Saccharomyces cerevisiae S288C: one gene and its partners. Changing the gene in region 3 together with the main gene of any one other region gives a genetic interaction. Each region holds a gene or a part of one and is shown on either strand. Other genes may lie near its edges.

Region 1 (4,669 bases), on a different chromosome or scaffold from region 3:
TACGTTGGTAAAAGCTTGTGATACGTTGATGGAGCATGGTGCCAAAGAAGTTATAGCTATTGTTACACACGGTATTTTCTCCGGTTCAGCAAGAGAAAAGCTAAGAAATAGTAGATTGTCTAGAATTGTTTGCACAAATACCGTTCCGGTAGATTTGGATTTACCTATTGCTGACCAGATCGATATTAGTCCCACGTTCGCTGAAGCTATAAGAAGACTACACAATGGTGAATCCGTGTCATATTTGTTCACCCATGCTCCAGTATAGGACAATTTTTTATTCTTAGATTCCTGATTGCTTGCATGCCTAAATACTTCATAATTGTATTAGTTTAAAAGAAAACCTTTTACTGAGACAAAACTATAAATTTAAGAAAAAGGTTCCGGAGCCGGTTTAAAAAAAGAAGATTAAAGATATTATATTTATGTAAGAATTAAATTAATACTGTCAGAGAAAAAATAGTTTTAAAGGAGACGGTGAACCTTTACCTTCCTTGATATGCAAATATTTTTCAGCTTTTCCTAAAACTAAACATTCTCGACTTTTTTTTAGAAGACTTTATGGGTGTGTTAGAAACAAAGCTGTCGTCTATAGCAGTATCCAAATCGTCTGCTATAGGCAGCTCTTCCTTTTTCTTTTGACCACTATTGCAAGTTCTTAGCCAATCATCGTACTTGATTAGATTGTCTATATTATCATCTTGTTCTTTTGCCATATTTTCACGATCATTCTTTTCAACAGCGTTTGAATACATCGCTTTATAAAACAAAACATATGCTGTTGCCATATTTGGAGATTCACCTGTGAATTCTAACACTGTTTCCTCTTTAACTGCCTCTACCGTTTCGTCATCAAATAACAACCAGCCAAACTTTTCATGTTTACATAGGGAAACATAATGGCCGTGTTGTGGCCCACCGCCCATATGAACGACAATCCCAGCCAATTCATACTTTTGACAAACCTTAGAATTTATTGAAGAGCAAACATTTAGCGTCAGAGGATAGTGAATGTTATTAAAAAGCTTAATATTACAGTTTTGTTTCTCAGAATACTTGAATCTTTTCAAGTGTAATGTTAAAGTATCAGGCAATTGCTTCAAACCAACTAATCTCTCTGCCTCCTGTAAACCGCAACATTCGTCACAATAAAACTTGTTTGAGCCATTTAGCATTTCTCGCTGGTGATAACTTTTCAAAATTTCCTGTATATCTGTTTCCTCATCTCCCTGAACTTCTATGGGGAAATCCAAAAATGGCTCATCCCTAGATGTAATGTTATCGCACGTCAGACATTTTATTTGATTCGTTAAAGTGCCTTGAAACAAGTCACTGATGAAATTTTTACTCTTACTCGGTTCGCTATCGCTGTTGATATCACTGGCTGCTATTTTTTTATTCTCACGTTCTATATATTCACTCAACTCGTTTAATAAGAAATTGAAAAATTCGTGAGCATCCTGATGCATAGTAGTATTAAATAATACATTTTCTCTTTTGAGAACATCAACAAAAGAGCTAGGCGATACAACACCAGTTAAATACGTATTCTCAGTTATGCATTCAAAGATATCTCTCAAACTGGAATACAAAGTAGCCTTATCTGAGCCGTTTAAGCTATGGTCAATATTGAGCACTGGCCCACGAATAAGTGCGGATTTCTTTCTATGTTCTGGGGATATTTGAGAAGAGGAACTAGATCTTCTAGTATCTTTTTTATCAAGTGGAGTGGATAAGCTGCTATTACTTTCTCCTTTCAAGTCCAGGTTATTACTATTACTGCTACCTCTTGAAGGATTTTCATAATTGAGAACTCTGCCAACAATTATTTTACGCGGAACATCCGGAGGTCTATCTGTGACGTTCTCGAAACTCAATCTGCTCGGAGCACCAGGCTCATTAGGTGTTTCGACTATCAATGGAGGTGCGTCTTGAGGACGAGAAGAGGGTTTTCCAGTGGTTAATATAGCAGGACTTCCTTCCTTTTTATTATTGTCTTGTACATGTTTCGCGCTAAAACTTTTAAAAAATTTACTCTTCTTCTCTGAAGGCCCAGCTGTATTTGAATTTACAGAATTTACAGGGGTAGGCTTTCCATCATCAACAGATTGAGGTTTAGGGTTAGGCAAATGTCCATTGGTACCAGCAATGCTTTTCTCAAAACTTGCTTCGGTAAATATTCTTGGTTTCTTACCTCTCATTTCTTTCTTTCTTGGTTGATCAGATTCTCTTGATTTTTTTGGAAATTGCAATATATTTTCACGTAATGAGGACAGATTATAGAGACATTGAAGAACTGAGTTACAGTAACATGTATTGCCAAAATTTTCGTATCCAAAAACTTTGTTGGAGCCGTCTCCATAGGGCATTGAGTCGGACACCTTCATAGCTAATATGGGTGCCTCGGGCCCTTGCGTGATAATGCCTCCGTATGCGTTTATAGCCTTTGCGTTTGAAATATAAAATATCCCATCCTGGCTGTAATTACTGCCTTGATTGCACGTTTCAGAAGAATAGTCTAGTCCGGAAGAAATCTGCAAATTATTGTCTTCATTCAAAAAAGTTTCCTTGGTATCCAAATTAGAGACAAACAATGAGCTAGAGGGATTATCGGATGATTCGCTATAACAGAGTTCATCATTTATATCGTGGTTTACAGGCTTAAAGTCAACCTTTTCTACTTCTTCTGTAATGGTATCATTAACAGCCTTTTTCTTCTTCCCAGACTTACTTATAGTTAGCCATCTTCTGATCATGATTGCGCCCTTCTTGCGTGGGTTTAGTATGTTAATGAAAGTACTGGATCCTTACTAAAGCCGAATTTGGCCCCTTCAACAAATAAAGCTTGATGAGTTGAACAGTCAAAGGGTAAGATCTGGTATAGGCAATAATAATATTATCCAAATGGAAAAAAAAAAAATGAACAGGTGAAAAAAAATCAATTTGAAAACCAAAGAAAAACTCTATTGATTCCTTTGCTGTTGTCGACCTTCTTTCACACAATAGTTCAATTACGTTCTTTGGGTTCTTTATCTTTATAGTTATCTTGCCTCATCTCTATGTTCAACACTTTCGGATCGATGTATTTTTCAGCCTTCCGCTAAAATTGACGACCGTCTCCAAACGAATAGGGATAAAGAAGCAAGGACTGAGCGTTGGAGAAAAAAAAAAAGTTACCGGAATGGGAATAGATAGATACCTATAAGAAGCGTTATCGTTACTCATGAATTTTGGTAAATGCACACGGATAAATGCATGATATATAAAATATTAATAAGAATAAAATAAATAGGTAGTGAATAAATATTCTACTTTGGTGTGGTCATCATTTTACAAAGGAGGGAGGTCGTGATAACAAACTGATAAATAATCCTTAAGTTGATCCATTCTTGAATATTGTTACATTGGAAATAATCCGAAAAAGAATATGTATAAATAAAAGGACTCGAAGTCCTATGTAGCCGTCTTTGCAAATTTTCTTTAATAAATTAGCAGAAAACAAGGGTAATAATATTTCTTAGAATATTAGAAGAATATAGGCGTTAAAAACCTTGTTCCATGTTCATATCGAACCAACCAAAAAAGTCATCATTACTGGAGTTGCCTTCAATCCAGCCTGCACTTTGTTGCTGAAAAAAATCCGTTAGTTTGTTTCCAGGAGTCTTCACGTTGTTTTCATTATCGATGGTTTGGAAGTTAGAAGAAGTTACAGTGTTAGTGCCCGTAGAAAATCGTTGGTTCGTTTTGTTGCTATTGATATCATTACTTTTGGAAAACAAGCTCAGAGGTGGATATGCCGTGCTTTTAGAGGAGCCGGGGTCGGAAACGACGGAATGCAAATCTGTCATATTATTTGACTTCGAAGCAATCGGTGTACGTGAATGGGACATACTACTTTGTGATCTTCCAATCGCGTTGGCGTTGCTGAATTGATTATTATAATTCATGGTGACATTTTGTAAATTACTGTGCTCCCTTGGAATAGGGTGGTCTATTCCCAATGTAACATTATTAGATAAGTTGCCAACGGGGTGGTTCCTTAACCCTGGAACGGACGCAGGAAAATGATTAACGGGAGTGCTTACTGATCTTTTCATGGAGAGATCAGGAATTACACTAGGTCCGTTACTATAATAGTCTACCTTAGTACTTTGTGGATTGTTATTCGAAGCGGGGACAGAAGCCACTGGATAAATTGAATTAGAGGGAATTGATATGTCATTAGACGCATCCAATAACGTCCTATTATTATTATAATCGTTACTATTCGAGGTATTAGCGAATAAACTTTGAAATTTTACGCTGCCTGTTTCCCCGAGCATGGAAAGAGGTATCCCGTTAATCTCCATTATAGAACCGTCAGAATCTCCGTTATTTGTCTTGGCTAGCTTTTCTGCCTGCTTTAAGGCATTCTTAGTAGGAACTAAAGTGGTAACAGTGGTTCCACTTGGTGTTGTTTTTGTTACAGTTTCAAAGTCATCTCTGGAGATATGGTTATATAGTGGCAATGGATATAGTTTTCTGTCCGTTATGCCACCCGTAGACGAAGTGCCATTGTAGATACCATTTGAGGAAAATTTTCTTTTCTTAGCGGCTTTCTCTAAGGCTTGCTTGTTATATTCGGGATCCATTTCCCTTCTTCTCGCCTCGTGAACACACCAAACCAAAT
Region 2 (3,881 bases), on a different chromosome or scaffold from region 3:
AATATAGAGGATATTTTCTACGTACAAAACGCTTATTGTATTTATAGCTCCAGTTACTGAAGTGGTAACTTAAGTAAGCAATAAGTATGTTAAAACCCTTTTATTTTTCTGAGTCGAGCAGATTTTTGTTCGACCGTTGTATATAGGATAATATGACGCCATATGATTTTTTCCTCTTTGGTAGGGAGGGAAGAAATTTTCCCCGCGCGGCTGAGTACAAAAGCGCCTAGTACTCACTTGAGTCATAATTTAGCACATCATAGCGTGCCTGCCAGAAAGACTTGGATGCGCATTTCTATTTGATGTAAGTAAGGAAATAGGAGAACTTTCATAGCCCATGGCTAGTTCGGTTTTCAGTAAACTATATACGTATATGTTAAGAATATTTCGGAGTGTCTAGATAATAAAAGAACATCGTTAAACTTATGAATGGTGAAGGAGGAGAAGTCTCGTTAAAGAATTCCTGTTGTAGAAAAAGTCAGTTCTGGTTACGAGAGGAAAATGTTGGAAGTTTATATCCCATCCTTTTCCTTTTCCCAGCATTTCTTTACAAACCGTTCCATGTTGACTTTTTTTTTCATTTGCCCTACAATCCAGGGATGCTTTAACATTTGCCTGGGAGAAGGCCTCTCTCTGGCATCTTTTTTTAAACAATAGTCGATAAAAGATCTAAATGTCTTGCTCCAGGATATGTCTAGTTCTGGCTCATCTTTCAACTGGGGAGAAAACGTCAGGATCATCGTCAATAATTCTATAGGAGCCACGTTTTGCGTTATTTTGTCAGATTCAAATGGAAATCTCCCTCCAGCAACCTCCAGAAGAGTTAATCCTAAGGACCATACATCACAGGTTACGCTGTATGGTTGGCCTTGTATTCGTTCTGGGGCCATATAAAATGACGTTCCAGTAAATGTCATCGCTAAAGAGTTAACAGCCTCCCCACTGACACCGAAATCGCATAATTTGATTTCCCCTTTTTCATTAAGAAGAATGTTTTGGGGTTTAATGTCCCTGTGGATGACTTTCCTTTCGTGTAAGTATGATAAACCTCTTAAGACAGATTCTGCTATCTTTCCTATCACCCTCTCACTTATTCTACCGCCACGTTTCAACAAATTTTTATACGTTGCCTCCAGTGATTTTCCTCCCATATATTCCATGGCAATGTATATTGAAGAACTCTGTTCGTCGGTAAACATACCATAGTACTGCACAATATAATCGGACTTAAAACTCTTATTAAATTGTAGCTCTCTGAATATTTGCTTTTGATATTCTGGGTCAGTATTCATAGTGTTGATTGTCTTCAACGCAAAAACCTTTTTTCCATTTTTTAATCGGCACTTGGCTACAGAACCACCCGCGCCTTCTCCTAGAATTCCTAGTGTAGTAATCTCATCCTTGAGATGCCCAAACCTCCATGCTTCTTCCTCTAACTGGTCTACGTCTTTTCCTTGTATTAAGTTGGAACAAGAAATTATGTTATTTGCACTTAAAGGGGCGGAGTTGCTCCCGCTACTGCTGAAGTCGTACGCAGAAAGAAGTGTCGAGGGGTATGAATCCTCGCCTTCTGGTGTGTCGAGATCTTTCTTGATAAAAGTGGTATCTATGTTGGATAACTTAGTGGAAATTGGAGCACTAGATAGTAGTTCCTTGTAAGTTATATCAACATGCAAATTAGAAAATCTTTCAGAAAGCTGACTATCGCCGGCAACTCTATATTCTATACCGTCTTTTTTTTGCGTTAGTACTAGGGGAGGTAATGGAGGTGGTACCGGTCTATTTTTAATAGTTGTAGTAGATGATCTATTGTACAACAAAGTGGAATTTGAAGCCATGGATGACGTAGTGGAAGTAGCTGAAGTGCTATTGTTGGAGTATGGGCTTTCGTTCACTGACGAGTACGGTGACCGGTTGAGATGTTGCCCATCATTAGTGGATTTCGCATTTTGAACTAAATTTACTGGAAGCGTTAATTTTGGAGTCTTTTGGTGACTCCTATTGGATTCTGGTGGTCTGAACATTGAAGCCATTATCCTGTGTATATAATTGGTATTTTGTAGATATGATAACAGTGCCTGCTATGCTAATCAGGTAATACTTGCTACTAGTAAAATGTCTAATTTTTTGAGCGAACGAATTTCATGCAAATTAGAAGGTAGCCAACATATAAATATATGAATATATATGTGCCTACGTGTTTGATGAGGTTTTCAGTAAAATTAAGCGGAAAGTATTGAGCTTTCCCAACTGATCCCTTTGATTTATTCTCTTTCTAATTCTTCAACTCTAAGGATAAAGTTTATTTCTTTTTGATTTTTTTTCGCATTGAGAAAGTGAACATAAACAAGGGTAAAATAGGCTCAATATCAGTTCACCTTTGAGAGTCTGGCAATAAGAGATGTGGTTCTAAGGTTACCTTATACATTCTAAACTCTGAAAACGCGTTTTCAAAGGTATGTACATTTCTCTATATTAAAGAGTAGATCCTTGCCGTTTATATATACATGTAGAGCAATTCTCAAGCTAATAATTAATGTTTACTTCAGACAATAAAACATTAAAAACAAATTTTTAGAAAAACAAAAGCTGAAGTAAAGACTAAATATTACACAATTTATTCATACATTTCCGCCCCAAACTCAAACAGCCTAAATAATATAAAAATTAACTTTTGGCAGCTCCAACCTCTCTACTGCCATCTAAAACTTTTCCAGTAAACGGCTTATATACAGTTAACAACCCGTCACTATCAACTGTAGCAACTAGATCCTCAATGTATTTGTGATAAGCAACGGTATTAACCTTATTATTTTCTCCTATTTCTCTTCTGCAGCCCTCAGTGTGATAAAATGCCATGCTTTCGGCCTCCAATTCGTCAGATATTATGCCTTGAAAGTCCTCATGTATCTCGTTATAAATGGCAAAAACAGGTTCGAAATTCCAGTGGTAAACATTACCTAACCCTCCAATTGTAACCACTTCCATAGGCGAAATGGAAGAAAACTCTATTTTGGACACTTGCTCGCTATAAAAGTGATGAACTTTGAATAGTTCATTGACTTTATTATGTCCTTGGTTGATATTTAACTCAGCATCAGCATCCCCTAAAGCGATAACTGCACGTATATCCCAAACCTTGAGAGCCCCACCACTAGTTCCCGTCATAAATAATGTATCAACAAACGGTGATGCAGCAAAACAAGTTGTTTTGCCGTCCAAAGAATCGTTTAGAATCCAAAGGGGCTTTTTGCCTATCTCATTACCCCAAAACCTTATGATACCGTCATCAGAACAAGTGGCGAATATTTGATTATTCAAAAACTTGATTTCTTGAATATTCTTTATGCCAGGAACAGGTATTGTACGAAGCACTTCTCCTATTTTACCTGAGTTGTCTATCAATTTTATTGTAGCGTTTTCATTATCAAGATGTTTTTCCTTAGTTACTGTTAAGGTTTTTGAATCGTTAGAAATTGCAAAATCAACACAGGGTTTATTTTGATTTCCGGACGATGCTGAACTTAGAGAAGTGGATGGCTCCATCATTGTGTAAACGGGCGATTTGACACCTTCTCTGAACCATGCCAAAGAACCATTGGTAGAAAGGGCTATCACCTTTACATTTATTTCGCTGTTATCCACGTAAATCATCTTTGCAATCGTTTCACCTTTAAATTCCCATTTTGGAATCAAAACAGTCTGCTCCACCTTTTGAGATTCCATGGTATAATCCGGTTGTACTAACGGTTCTGAAATGCTTTCAGGTTTTTTGTAATGAAGTCCGAGTGGCACTATACAATCCACCTCAAAGATTTCACTCCCTTGAGAATATAAAAGTGGTACGCTCAAAACACCTTTGGATTTATTACATGAGCTAT
Region 3 (3,639 bases):
CTAGATTCTGCCCAGCCCTCAACTTCACGCCCACGTTGAGAGTACATTCAGTACGTTGAAAATACATTCAGTCACACCCGCAGCACAGCAAGTCGTTTCATCTAAGCTATTTTGATCGTTAGAATATCCACACCTCACAAGTATCGACAATTTAGATGTGTATTGGGTTTTGTCTACGCAAATACCATTAGTTTCACACAAGATGCCATCAGCGCTACTGTAAATAGATTGTTCCTCTGTTATCGTGCGAATGGAACTAGAAAACCAATAATCATTGAATAATATATGTGACAGTGACAGGCCACCAGAATAAAGCTAATATCTAGAGGGGTATTTCTTCTTGAGTGAAGAAGAAATATGCTACTTCCAAATTTTAGGACGACAAATCCTCATAATATGAATTAGGCAAATTACAGAATGAAGGGGGTTGAGAAGTCCCACAGCACATCGCTCCTTCGCTAAGAGCTCCACTGCTAAAACAGAAAAAAAAAGTATTAATCAATTGTACTACCATGTTCTTTGTTACTAAACGCGCCTATTTTTTTCGAGAGCCTTTACGAGAGTCAATCAAGCATTCTCCCGCATACTTCGCTAAGAAAAAAGTGATCTTTAATTGGGCCCTTCATCTATCATTTTTGCTTAAGTGGCGTAACTTATTTTATCATTTCCTCTCCCTGCCATCCTCTTTATTTTTGTTCTGTATCACAGCAGTTAATTCAGTTTCCATTCAAAGTATGCCACGGATAACTTGATGCTTCAAGAAGAAAAATTATTTGGCCTAAAACTTGCTGTTTCTTCACAATTTTTCTAAATGCTCTCCGATTCCCGGATTGCAGATGTTTCACTGCTCCACATTATATCCTTTGTGTCCACCTTGATAATCGATACTTTAAAGATTATTTTGTGGGAGGAGAGCCTTAGAAAGAATACGCTTGTTTTAAGAAGGAAAACAAGCGGCACCAATCTTCAATTGGTATTTTAAAATCTATTAGACGTCAAATCCCGGTTAGACTTGAGATAGATGTACCTGGAGAGAAAATCTATAATAAAAAAAAAAATACTTTCAGGTCAGATATTTCTTTTTTTGTCCCTAATAAAAAGAAATGGTATTCTGCCAAACACCAAAGTGCCAAATAAGCATTATTTTACATAGTACGAAATGGAAATTACGTCAATTATCGACATTATGACATAAAATTGGATTTAACAAGATCTCTGAATCTGATATGCTTCTTTCATTAGGGTGGAAATAACAGCATTTGAGAGAAGCAATTGCCAAGCTTCTATGAAAATTTTCTAGAAGGCAAGAGTATTTCAGACTTTCCTAATATGAAAGGACAAATTGACACTAATGTCTGATTATGGCCAATTCCTGCGGTAAATTACACGGCGATTACGGCGACATGAGCTCACATTCATCACTCTATGGGACAAATGTTTCCAAACTGGGCGCAACAAACACCTGATGTGACTCCTACCCTTTGGACAATGCAGATCCACGCTACGGCAAATTAGTCAAATGCACTAGAACATGGCGCAAGTACTTATTGTGACCTTTGGGGTACCGTTACCGTCAGTTTTCTTCAGCTAAGGCGCGCGCGCCAGATAACTAAAAAAAAATATAGTTGCTGCTTAAAAAACAATACACCCGTACTCTCTTGCCTGTAAAAACCTCGAAGGACCAAAGATACCCTCAAGGTTCTCATCTGTGCGGTATTCTTCAAATTACAATGACATTTCCCAAAATTATCAGATGTGCTCAGGTATCTTCTCTCCAATGAGATGAGACAGATGAACATATTTGACCTTGAAGGTCATGGAAAGTAGGTTGAGAGCAAATGTGTAGAACGAAATTAAGAAAAAAAGAAATTACGCACGGCATTAGCTCGATGACTTAGTTATAAATAGAGGCCTGGTATCGGCTGTCATGATCTCATCTCTTCCCTATTTACAAAAAAACTGCAAGTATAGACAATAAAACAACAGCACAAATATCAAAAAAGGAATTATGAGCAACGTTACTACGCCGTGGTGGAAACAATGGGACCCTTCTGAAGTTACACTTGCCGATAAAACCCCTGATGATGTGTGGAAGACCTGTGTTTTGCAAGGTGTTTACTTTGGTGGAAACGAGTACAATGGTAACTTAGGTGCCAGAATATCTTCCGTCTTTGTTATTCTTTTCGTGAGTACTTTTTTCACCATGTTCCCATTAATCTCAACAAAAGTGAAAAGATTGAGAATTCCTCTATATGTTTACCTTTTCGCAAAGTATTTTGGTTCCGGTGTTATTGTTGCAACCGCATTTATCCACTTAATGGACCCTGCTTATGGTGCGATTGGTGGTACCACTTGTGTAGGACAAACCGGTAACTGGGGTCTTTATTCATGGTGTCCTGCCATTATGCTAACGAGTTTGACCTTCACTTTCCTTACTGATCTATTCAGTAGCGTCTGGGTTGAAAGAAAGTATGGTCTTTCCCATGACCATACCCACGATGAAATTAAAGACACTGTTGTGAGAAACACTGCAGCTGTTTCAAGTGAGAATGACAATGAGAATGGTACTGCAAATGGATCTCATGACACCAAGAACGGAGTAGAGTATTATGAAGATTCAGACGCTACATCCATGGATGTTGTTCAATCATTTCAAGCACAATTTTATGCCTTTTTAATTTTAGAATTCGGTGTGATTTTCCACTCCGTTATGATCGGTCTAAACCTGGGAAGTGTTGGTGATGAGTTCTCCTCCCTATACCCTGTCTTAGTGTTCCATCAATCATTTGAAGGTTTAGGTATTGGTGCAAGATTGTCAGCCATTGAATTCCCTAGATCAAAGAGATGGTGGCCATGGGCCCTATGTGTTGCGTATGGGTTAACCACACCAATCTGTGTGGCCATCGGTTTGGGTGTTCGTACCAGATACGTCAGCGGTTCTTACACTGCGCTTGTTATCTCTGGTGTTTTGGATGCCATTTCTGCTGGTATCTTATTGTACACTGGTTTGGTTGAACTACTAGCAAGAGACTTTATATTCAATCCTCAAAGAACAAAGGATCTAAGAGAATTGTCCTTCAACGTTATATGCACTCTTTTCGGTGCTGGTATCATGGCTTTGATCGGTAAGTGGGCTTAAACCAAAGCGAAATTCTGCATGTTCCATATAGATTCTATTTCATATTTTATAGTTATTTATTCTTTAGTAATAGCAAAAAAACAGTAATAATTTTTCTTTAACAGTCTCGGACAATAAATACGCTAAAGAAGATGAAAATGACAACTTTTACGCTGGTGTGCACAAGTGGTACCAGAATACGTGGCCACCAAAACAATGACGGATATAGGGAGAACCAAGTCTAGAAATTACAAATGTTCTTTTGACGGTTGTGAGAAAGTCTACAACAGACCTAGTTTGCTTCAGCAACACCAAAATTCGCATACCAATCAAAAGCCGTATCATTGTGATGAGCCGGGATGTGGCAAAAAATTTATAAGACCGTGCCATCTACGAGTTCACAAATGGACTCATTCACAAATCAAGCCCAAAGCGTGCACATTATGTCAAAAAAGATTTGTCACAAATCAGCAATTAAGAAGGCATTTAAATAGTCATGAAAGAAAAAGCAAGCTTGCATC

Evidence for each region. A genetic interaction does not mean that the proteins touch.
Region 1: mutations in ZRT1 (region 3) and UBP13 together harm fitness more than expected from each alone (negative genetic interaction), as found in Saccharomyces cerevisiae (2 studies listed by BioGRID).
Region 2: mutations in ZRT1 (region 3) and MKK2 together harm fitness more than expected from each alone (negative genetic interaction), as found in Saccharomyces cerevisiae (2 studies listed by BioGRID).

Annotation. Positions count from the first base shown.
Region 1 is NC_001134.8:93,127-97,795, forward strand, and holds UBP13 (ubiquitin-specific protease UBP13), read right to left. Parts: upstream 2,757-4,669; coding exon 513-2,756; downstream 1-512. Other genes in the region: ribose phosphate diphosphokinase subunit PRS4, read left to right, coding at 1-268; SEF1 (Sef1p), read right to left, coding at 3,543-4,669.
Region 2 is NC_001148.4:287,002-290,882, forward strand, and holds MKK2 (putative mitogen-activated protein kinase kinase MKK2), read right to left. Parts: upstream 2,034-3,881; coding exon 513-2,033; downstream 1-512. Other genes in the region: UME1 (Ume1p), read right to left, coding at 2,668-3,881. UniProt on the Saccharomyces cerevisiae protein: Serine/threonine protein kinase involved in a signal transduction pathway that plays a role in yeast cell morphogenesis and cell growth.
Region 3 is NC_001139.9:18,970-22,608, forward strand, and holds ZRT1 (high-affinity Zn(2+) transporter ZRT1), read left to right. Parts: upstream 1-2,008; coding exon 2,009-3,139; downstream 3,140-3,639. Other genes in the region: FZF1 (Fzf1p), read left to right, coding at 3,335-3,639. UniProt on the Saccharomyces cerevisiae protein: High-affinity zinc transport protein.